2 linked regions of the Saccharomyces cerevisiae S288C genome follow. The main gene of each other region encodes a partner of the protein of the gene in region 2 in a complex. Each region holds a gene or a part of one and is shown on either strand. Other genes may lie near its edges. A codon is read from its position in the direction of its gene.

Region 1 (4,524 bases), on a different chromosome or scaffold from region 2:
TATATCATAGGTGAGCTGTCGCAAATGATTCTATTGAATTTAAAAGAGAAGAAAAATTGGCAACATTCAGCATATCCAGGTAAATTAAACTTACCATCAGATTTGTTCAAACCTTTTGCAACGGTTCAGGAGGCCCAGTTATCTTTCAAAACATACATACCAGAGAGCTTGACTGAAAAAATACAAAACAATATAAAAGCTAAAATCGGACGGATTCTTCACACGTCACAAACTCAAAGACAAAGGCTTCAAAAGAGGTTATTAGCTCACGAAAACAATGAATCACAAAAAAAAAAGAAGAAAGTTCATCATGCGAGATCACAGGCTGACGACGAAGAAGGTGATGGGGATCGAGAATCAGACAGTGATGATGACAGTTATTCACCGTCTAACAAAAATGAAACCAAGAAAGGGCACGAAAATATTGTGATGAAGAAATTGAGGGTCAGGAAAGAAGTTGACTACAAAGACGATGAAGATGATGACATCGAGATGACTTAGAAGGGAAAAAAACATCAATTGCTATGTTGTAAATGGAAAAAAAAGGAAAATAGGTAGATCTCTCACTTTAAGATGCGATACATATGCCTATGTATGTGTGTATATATGTAAGGAAGGTGTTCACGTTCCTGATTTATTCTTTATGTATGTACGCCGTTTCTATTCGGATTGGTTTTCGGGATTTTCTATGTTTAAAAATTTTAACAGTTCTTCCTTTGGTTTGGATTCGATAATCTTCTTTAAATATAACAGATGCTTTATTTCATCGCTGGAAAAGTCATTGAATTGTATAGAATCTAGTTCGTTCGGCACGACTACGTTAGTCAGTTCTTTCAAATCCCATAATTTTCTTAAGTTATTGCTTTTGGAAGCCGATTTATTGTTACTACTCTTGTCGTTGTTGCTAACTTGGAAATATATTAAAGAGGCTATGTCTTTGACCATATTATCCTCGCTATTGCCATTTTGGGATCCATTTGATACTAACTTATCTATTAAACTTTCTTGAAATTGAAAGAGTTTTCTTTTTTGAACCATTTTTGATTTGTAAATTTTATCAAAAAAATCATATTTAATGGAATTTTCATCTATTTGTGTAATTTTGAAATCTTGATTGAAATCATAATCTGTATGACTAGTTGTTGGTATGATTTGAATGTTCCCGTTATTTTGGTAGCCTATTTTTTGTAAAGGTTCATAATAAAGTTGGTTTTTCTTGTTTATCAATCGTTGTTTTTTCCACACCTTATAATTTACGCTATTATCTTCTTGACAATGGTGTATCTTTTTGTAAACTTTAGTTGGGGAATGTAGAGGACATTTCCATTTTGAACCTAAGTTCTTGAAAGAAGCCCTCGGTACACAATCCAAATGCCATGGAGTCTGACAATAATCACAAGTCATTATTAATCTTGAATTTTCTGGATGAGACCATGAACCTAGTCTGGTTTGATTGCATTTGTAACAAATTAAAAACTTACCTGAATTTGAATCTATATGTGTATCCGGGTTGTAAGAGTCCAATTTAGTTATGCTTTGGCCATAAGAAGTGTTAAACAATTGTCTATCAGTTAATGGAATCTTATCATTCTCATCAGAGTATTGTCCTCTCGAACCCGTTTTCACAGCAGGAAAGGTTTCTTTTATATAATTTGGTAGCTGGAACTGTTTTGGGTTGTGGGAATCGATATTGAAAAGTAATTTAGCAAAAATCTTGACGTTGTTATTTTGCTTAATGAAGTTGGATTCAATTTTTTTTAAAGTTGCCATTGAGTTATTTATGAAGATTTTAAACTTACATTCATTACAATGCCAATCACCTTTAGGCAGGTTGTTCGGATCAATTGGTGGGTCTAAGCAAAGAAAGTGAAAGGATTTGGGGCATGTATCACAGCATAAAAAAGAACCTGACTGATTACAAGCCGAACAAAAATCTTCATTCTCAAAATCTATGGTTGAATTGTTCTTGTCCCTGAAAATTTTTTCACTCGCATTCGATGTTGACTTGATGGAATTTTGGCCAAATAGTTTACTTTTTGAATCATAGGTAGCATTCGTTGAAAGTATTATTTTGGTTCTAATATTTGATAGCTTTTTATTATCGCGGTCGCTTTCAGGTTCACGGTCACGAGTTCTGTTTATTATATCGCCATTCCAACCAATAGTTGACCGTATATTGCTCTCTTCAGTCATGTTCTCAGTTAAAAACGTTTTCAAATCATTTCTGTTCAAATCCTGAAAATTTTTCGGCACCTGAGTAAATCTTTTACTGGGGACCAGCGTCATTTCTGAGTTGTTCGATTGGCCTCCCAAATTTTTTCTATAATTCCAAAGAGACTCTCGCTTGATTTTCTCAGAAGGACCTTTATTTAACGGCAATCCAGTGACAGATACCTTCGAATCTTCCGAGATGGTGGATGGCTCATTAAGTTTGATGATATTACCCTTGGAGTCCTTTTCAAGAAGTTCCTTGGGTTCTTCTTCCGGGATATTGTCTTCAACTGCAAGATTGCTATGCTCGTTCTTGAATGATCTTTCTATACCTTCAGAAGTGATGATCTTTCTCCTTTTCAAATCGTAATTTACATTCTGGGAGGATAGTCTCTTAGGACGTTTTTTCTCTTTGGAAGAAGATGAAGAGAGAGAAGAAGATGAAGGAGAAGAACTGTTGGAATGTGAGGGCGACCTAGTAGTATCTTTCTTGCTGGTGTCCATTGTATTATTATTAGCAGATGGTAATGGAAGTGTCTTTTATAGGTTTTTCTATGGTGATTATTCTCGTTTATACTTGGTATTCTTCTTCCTTCCTCTCGTGCTTGTTGCAAATGTTCAAACGCGTAGTGGGTACGTCGTTCTCTACAAAGGAATGAGGCAGATCTTGCAGCGAGCTACTAAAACTACCACTTATGGGTTAACACGATATATATGTATTTATATCTACTAATATGGTATTAAGGCTCAAAAATAACCTTGCAACAGAGAGCAATAGTATAATTTCCTACATGAGGAAGAAAGTTGCCTATTATGGTGAGCAGGTGAAATCCTAGCTGCGAACGGGAAACTTATTCGGACGAGAAACAGATGAGAAACAGATGAGAATTTTTGGGCTGGGTAAGCGAGAATTTTTATACCACTTGTGGTTCTACAAGGAGAACCAAGAGTAAAAGTTGAAAAATCTTCTTGCTCTCTGGATTACAATTCAGGAGGAAGTGTGTGCTCAGATATGGACCCAGAGTTACAAGCTATTAGGGAAGCCAGATTGGCTCAGTTGAAAAACAACAGTGGGGGTACCAACGGCGATAGAAATAGCGGTGCTAATAATGGTGGAGGTGAAAATTCCGCTCCCGTTGGTGCAGCTATTGCAAATTTCTTGGAGCCACAAGCTTTAGAAAGATTATCTCGAGTGGCCTTGGTCCGTAGAGACAGGGCCCAAGCAGTAGAGACATACTTAAAGAAACTGATTGCTACAAACAACGTCACTCATAAAATCACTGAAGCTGAAATTGTTTCAATCTTGAATGGTATCGCCAAGCAACAAAATTCACAAAATAACAGTAAGATTATCTTCGAACGGAAAGATTTCAGCGAAGATCTGAATTCATTTGACAAGCAGAATGCTAAAAATGATGACGACGAAGATGATGACGACTTCTTTGATTAGTTTATATAAACGAATAATATGTTTTTTCGTATAATGTTACATTTAGTACAAATCATATCCTTTATAGAACTAGAGTTAAAGTTACATTAATTATGTGTAGCAAAAGGACGAATAAGCAGAATATAACATATTAGCAGGTGCTTAGATTACACTCATAGAGATATGAGTAGTGACGGCATGAACAGAGATGTTTCAAACTCGAAACCAAATGTCAGATTCGCTGCTCCTCAGCGACTAAGCGTTGCTCATCCTGCCATATCATCCCCGCTGCATATGCCCATGTCGAAGTCGTCAAGAAAGCCTCTTGTAAGAACCAAAATAAGACTAGATCCTGGGCACAGTGCTCTGGACTGGCACTCTCTAACCTCCAATCCAGCGAATTATTATACAAAATTCGTTTCGCTACAGCTTATCCAGGATTTACTCGATGATCCGGTATTTCAAAAAGATAACTTCAAGTTTTCACCTTCACAACTGAAGAACCAATTGCTTGTCCAAAAGATACCCCTTTATAAAATAATGCCACCCTTAAGAATAAACAGAAAAATCGTAAAGAAGCATTGTAAAGGTGAGGACGAGTTATGGTGCGTTATAAACGGCAAAGTCTATGACATTTCTAGTTATTTGAAGTTCCATCCAGGTGGTACGGACATCTTAATAAAGCACCGTAATAGTGACGATTTGATTACATATTTTAATAAGTATCATCAATGGGTTAACTATGAAAAATTATTACAGGTTTGTTTCATTGGCGTTGTATGCGAATAAAGGTTACCAGAGATAAAAAAAAAGTTTGAAGACTTACATAGGATATAAAAACACTACACACTTGCTTGGTTAAGTTAAATTTATTTATTTGTTTG
Region 2 (4,974 bases):
TCAAAGTCCAATATAGGCCATACAGATATTCCCATTGCTAATCAAGTTTTCATCTCAAGAGTTGGAGGCTGGCTTCAATCTCAGAAATGCTTTCAAAATATTATTCTAACAACCTTGAAAAAGTTTTTTAGCGAGAGCAAAAGGATTCTTTGTCAAAATGATTTAATCCCAATCGCTTTTGATTCAAGTATGGCTGATCTCAATATAGCAGAGGAAAATGATGAGTCTGATGACGAAGATGAGCTAGGGCAGTACTACAAGAACGATTCCCTTGTATGGTTCTTTGTCACAAGCGCAGAGCTCGATTGCTTCTCTAAAGATAATTCTCATTTTATTATTGATCCCAATCGGACGAAGCTAATAACAACTAATATCACTAACAGAAGACCATTACCCTTGAGTAGATCCAATCTTCAGAGATATTACGGTTTTGCTGAAACTTTTTACTATGATTTGCATATCTTCCCCTATGTAAGACAATTGGTTAACATATTAGAAACTTCCTTCAATTGTTCTCAAAGGGGAATCACCCTAAATGCCTCTGTGTTACTTCATTCCACTACAAACAATGTGGGCAAGGCTACAATGGTGAGATTTGCTTCAAAATATCTTGGTATACATCTACTGGAGATAGATTGCCTTTCGCTCACTTCAAATTCAAGACAACTGGATTCAACATCTAAGATTATTGGTTACATTAGGGCTAAATGTGAAAATGTCCTACCGTACGCATCACCTGCTGTGATTTTTTTGGCTCATTTGGATTCAATTTTGCTTGACGTAAACGCTAATCAAGATCCAGAGGCAATCAAATTACAAAAATCTATAAACTTCGAAATGTCTAAACTTCTGGACGATTTTACGTTTAAATTCCCAGGAACTACATTTGTTGGCTCCGTAAATAACATAGATAACGTGCCTTCCAGCTTTAGATCACATATGAGATTTGAGATTCTCGTACCCGTTCCGTCTGAAGCACAGAGACTGCGTATCTTTCAGTGGTACTTATCTTCACATGAACTAAACAGAGATGTTCAACAAAAGGTTCCAGTATCTTACATGGATAATATTTCATTTTCATCACTCTCTTCATATTCTGCTGGTTTAACTCCTTTAGACATCAAATCAATTGTGGAAACGGCACGAATGACGGCTACTGCGCGTTTTTACCAAGAATCAAAGAAGTGTGGATGGCTTCCGCAATCAATTTTGATCACTCAGGAGGATTTATCAAAAGCTACTTCGAAAGCTAGGAACGAATTCTCGGTTTCGATTGGTGCCCCACAAATCCCTAACGTAACTTGGGATGATATAGGTGGTATTGATTTTGTTAAAGGTGAAATATTGGACACAATAGACATGCCGCTAAAACATCCTGAATTATTTACCTCAGGTATGAAAAAGAGAAGCGGTATTCTTTTTTATGGTCCACCGGGTACAGGTAAAACTCTAATGGCTAAGGCCATTGCAACAAATTTTTCTTTAAATTTTTTTAGTGTTAAAGGCCCTGAACTGTTGAATATGTACATTGGTGAGAGTGAAGCTAATGTGCGCAGAGTGTTTCAAAAGGCGAGAGAGGCTAAACCTTGTGTCATATTTTTCGATGAAATCGATTCAGTAGCACCCAAACGTGGTAATCAAGGTGATTCGGGTGGTGTTATGGATCGTATCGTTTCACAGTTACTAGCAGAGTTAGATGGTATGAGTACCGACGCTGACGGTGTATTTGTTATCGGAGCAACAAACAGACCAGACTTATTGGACGAAGCACTACTAAGACCAGGACGATTCGATAAATTGTTATATTTAGGCATTCCGGATACGGATACCAAACAATTGAATATTTTAGAGGCTCTGACTCGCAAATTCGTGCTCGACAACGACGTAAAGCTTATTGAGTTGGCAAAGCTATGTCCATTTAATTACACCGGGGCAGATTTTTATGCTCTCTGCTCAGATGCAATGCTTAACGCCATGTCAAGAATTGCACGCATGGTAGAAAAAAAAGTTTCTCAGCATAACGAATTGACGGGAGAGAATATTTCTACACGTCGCTGGTTTGATAAGATTGCGACAAAAGAGGATACTAAGGTTGTCGTAAAAATGGAAGACTTCTTGAAAGCACAAGAGCAGCTCACCCCAAGTGTGTCGCGGGCTGAACTGAATCATTATGAAGCGGTGAGAGCTAATTTTGAAGGTGCTTAAGTAATATCAACTCAGAGCGTATAGGTAAATTTGTAAATATATGTCCCATATTTTGCCTTGAAATTTATCTTTTTATTTACTTACCCTCCCCGGCTCATAGTATCTATCGAAAGGGAAAAACAGAAAAGATACTAGTAGTTGATTATACATAATAAAAATTTGAAGTAATAACCATAAAGGTTCATAAAACAATTGCGCCATACAAAACATTCGTGGCTACAACTCGATATCCGTGCAGATGGTATATGAAGCAACACCTTTTGATCCGATCACGGTCAAGCCAAGCGATAAAAGACGCGTTGCATATTTTTACGATGCAGACGTTGGGAACTATGCATATGGAGCAGGTCACCCGATGAAGCCGCATAGAATAAGAATGGCACATTCCCTTATTATGAATTATGGCTTGTACAAGAAGATGGAAATTTACAGAGCTAAGCCGGCAACGAAACAAGAAATGTGTCAGTTCCATACTGATGAATACATTGATTTTTTATCGAGGGTTACTCCAGATAATTTAGAAATGTTTAAAAGAGAAAGTGTCAAGTTTAATGTCGGAGATGATTGTCCTGTCTTTGATGGGCTCTATGAGTACTGTAGCATATCTGGTGGTGGCTCTATGGAAGGAGCTGCTCGTCTGAATAGAGGCAAATGTGATGTTGCTGTCAACTATGCGGGTGGTTTGCATCATGCAAAAAAATCGGAAGCTTCTGGGTTTTGTTATTTAAATGACATAGTACTGGGCATTATTGAGCTACTACGATACCACCCCAGAGTTCTGTATATTGATATTGATGTGCACCATGGTGATGGTGTAGAGGAAGCGTTTTATACAACGGATCGTGTCATGACATGTTCTTTCCACAAATATGGTGAGTTTTTCCCTGGCACAGGTGAACTGAGAGATATAGGGGTGGGTGCAGGAAAAAACTACGCGGTCAATGTGCCATTAAGAGACGGTATTGACGATGCTACGTATAGATCTGTGTTTGAACCTGTGATAAAAAAAATTATGGAATGGTATCAACCTTCTGCTGTCGTGTTACAGTGTGGTGGGGACTCCTTGTCCGGCGATCGTCTTGGTTGCTTTAATCTTTCCATGGAAGGCCATGCTAATTGTGTAAACTATGTGAAATCCTTTGGGATCCCAATGATGGTTGTTGGTGGAGGAGGCTATACTATGAGAAATGTTGCAAGGACATGGTGCTTTGAAACAGGTCTACTAAATAACGTTGTCTTGGATAAAGATTTACCGTACAATGAATATTACGAATATTACGGTCCAGATTATAAGTTAAGTGTTAGACCTTCGAATATGTTCAATGTAAATACTCCCGAATATCTTGACAAGGTAATGACCAATATATTTGCTAATTTGGAAAACACAAAGTATGCCCCTAGTGTTCAGTTGAATCACACACCTAGGGATGCCGAAGATTTGGGTGATGTTGAAGAAGATTCTGCCGAGGCTAAAGATACGAAGGGTGGTTCGCAATATGCGAGGGACCTACATGTTGAGCATGACAATGAATTCTATTGAAAAAAAGAGTTGGAAGTATATACGAATATAAATAATGTGAAACAAAAGAAGAAAAGTGAATAAAAGGCACTTAAGACGCTATCCAATTGTGTATGAGAAGTGCAAACTCAATTTTTTTGCAAAAGACTTTTCTCAAACCTTTAATTGATGCGTTCCGTTCATACATCAACCGCGTCCCATACGTTTCGAAGAAAATTGCCTATATGTGTTATTTACATACTAGAGATATTTTAATATTGAAACAGTTGTATTTCTATTGTAATTACTATCTAAACGTCTCGTCCCACCGCTGTTGATAAAGCGGTGCCAATATAATTTATAATCACGCCTGGGTAAATGACTTTTAATTTCTTAAATCATCGAAGTATGCGAAAACAAGAAGTCTTTATTCATAATAAAAAACAAATTCGGTTACTACGACTTTTATATGTCATTCAATATTTGGTAATAATTTTACAGTATTAACCCTATCCTCATCTGATTCACTCTCTTCTAATTGCATATATTTTCAAATTCGCTTTCAGCGCTGTACAAAACCAGTAAGCAGATCTCGTACGAAGACTCAAATAAGTTGCATTGTTCGTATTCAAGGAAACCGGGGGGCAAAATTTCCAACCATATTTAAGTATGACAATATTTCCAAGTCAAGGATGCATGCTGTTCTTCTCTTCATTAACTAGCTAACCAATTAGCTGAACGGCTTTGTATTTTACTTAACATATTGTCTATTGCATAAAAAACCACTATTCAGCATGACTGACTTGTTTAAACCTCTACCTGAACCACCTACCGAATTGGGACGTCTCAGGGTTCTTTCTAAAACTGCCGGCATAAGGGTTTCACCGCTAATTCTGGGAGGAGCTTCAATCGGCGACGCATGGTCAGGCTTTATGGGCTCTATGAATAAGGAACAGGCCTTTGAACTTCTTGATGCTTTTTATGAAGCTGGAGGTAATTGTATTGATACTGCAAACAGTTACCAAAATGAAGAGTCAGAGATTTGGATAGGTGAATGGATGGCATCAAGAAAACTGCGTGACCAGATTGTAATTGCCACCAAGTTTACCGGAGATTATAAGAAGTATGAAGTAGGTGGTGGTAAAAGTGCCAACTACTGTGGTAATCACAAGCGTAGTTTACATGTGAGTGTGAGGGATTCTCTCCGCAAATTGCAAACTGATTGGATTGATATACTTTACATTCACTGGTGGGATTATATGAGTTCAATC

The links.
Region 1: the proteins of RPD3 (region 2) and RCO1 are in contact, whole or in part, in a cryo-EM structure (PDB 8HXX), measured with the Saccharomyces cerevisiae proteins. Residues at the interface, in NP_014069.1 of Saccharomyces cerevisiae: Phe24 (codon at 2,513), Ala36 (codon at 2,549), His49 (codon at 2,588), Ser50 (codon at 2,591), Met53 (codon at 2,600), Asn54 (codon at 2,603), Gly56 (codon at 2,609), Tyr58 (codon at 2,615), Lys59 (codon at 2,618), Ile63 (codon at 2,630), Tyr64 (codon at 2,633), Arg65 (codon at 2,636), Ala66 (codon at 2,639), Lys67 (codon at 2,642), Pro68 (codon at 2,645), Ala69 (codon at 2,648), Thr70 (codon at 2,651), Gln72 (codon at 2,657), Glu73 (codon at 2,660), Gln76 (codon at 2,669), Met96 (codon at 2,729), Arg99 (codon at 2,738), Gly125 (codon at 2,816), Met128 (codon at 2,825), Glu129 (codon at 2,828), Ala132 (codon at 2,837), Arg133 (codon at 2,840), Arg136 (codon at 2,849), Lys138 (codon at 2,855), Glu172 (codon at 2,957); in NP_013791.1 of Saccharomyces cerevisiae: Val110 (codon at 2,388), Arg164 (codon at 2,226), Asp166 (codon at 2,220), Leu167 (codon at 2,217), Lys168 (codon at 2,214), Thr169 (codon at 2,211), Leu171 (codon at 2,205), Thr172 (codon at 2,202), Met175 (codon at 2,193), Thr176 (codon at 2,190), Glu177 (codon at 2,187), Glu178 (codon at 2,184), Ser179 (codon at 2,181), Asn180 (codon at 2,178), Ile181 (codon at 2,175), Arg182 (codon at 2,172), Ser183 (codon at 2,169), Thr184 (codon at 2,166), Ile185 (codon at 2,163), Trp187 (codon at 2,157), Asn188 (codon at 2,154), Asp292 (codon at 1,842), Pro293 (codon at 1,839), Asn294 (codon at 1,836), Leu398 (codon at 1,524), Asp399 (codon at 1,521), Ser400 (codon at 1,518), Tyr401 (codon at 1,515), Arg424 (codon at 1,446), Pro431 (codon at 1,425).

What each region holds. Positions count from the first base shown.
Region 1 is NC_001145.3:412,173-416,696, reverse strand, and holds RCO1 (Rco1p), read right to left. Parts: upstream 2,716-4,524; coding exon 661-2,715; downstream 1-660. Other genes in the region: sister chromatid cohesion factor PDS5, read left to right, coding at 1-501; YMR075C-A (uncharacterized protein), read left to right, coding at 644-1,009; SDD2 (Sdd2p), read left to right, coding at 3,224-3,661; IRC21 (Irc21p), read left to right, coding at 3,824-4,429. UniProt on the Saccharomyces cerevisiae protein: Catalytic component of the RPD3C(S) histone deacetylase complex responsible for the deacetylation of lysine residues on the N-terminal part of the core histones (H2A, H2B, H3 and H4).
Region 2 is NC_001146.8:16,772-21,745, reverse strand, and holds RPD3 (histone deacetylase RPD3), read left to right. Parts: upstream 1-2,443; coding exon 2,444-3,745; downstream 3,746-4,974. Other genes in the region: PEX6 (AAA family ATPase peroxin 6), read left to right, coding at 1-2,205; AAD14 (putative aryl-alcohol dehydrogenase), read left to right, coding at 4,498-4,974. UniProt on the Saccharomyces cerevisiae protein: Catalytic component of the RPD3 histone deacetylase (HDAC) complexes RPD3C(L) and RPD3C(S) responsible for the deacetylation of lysine residues on the N-terminal part of the core histones (H2A, H2B, H3 and H4).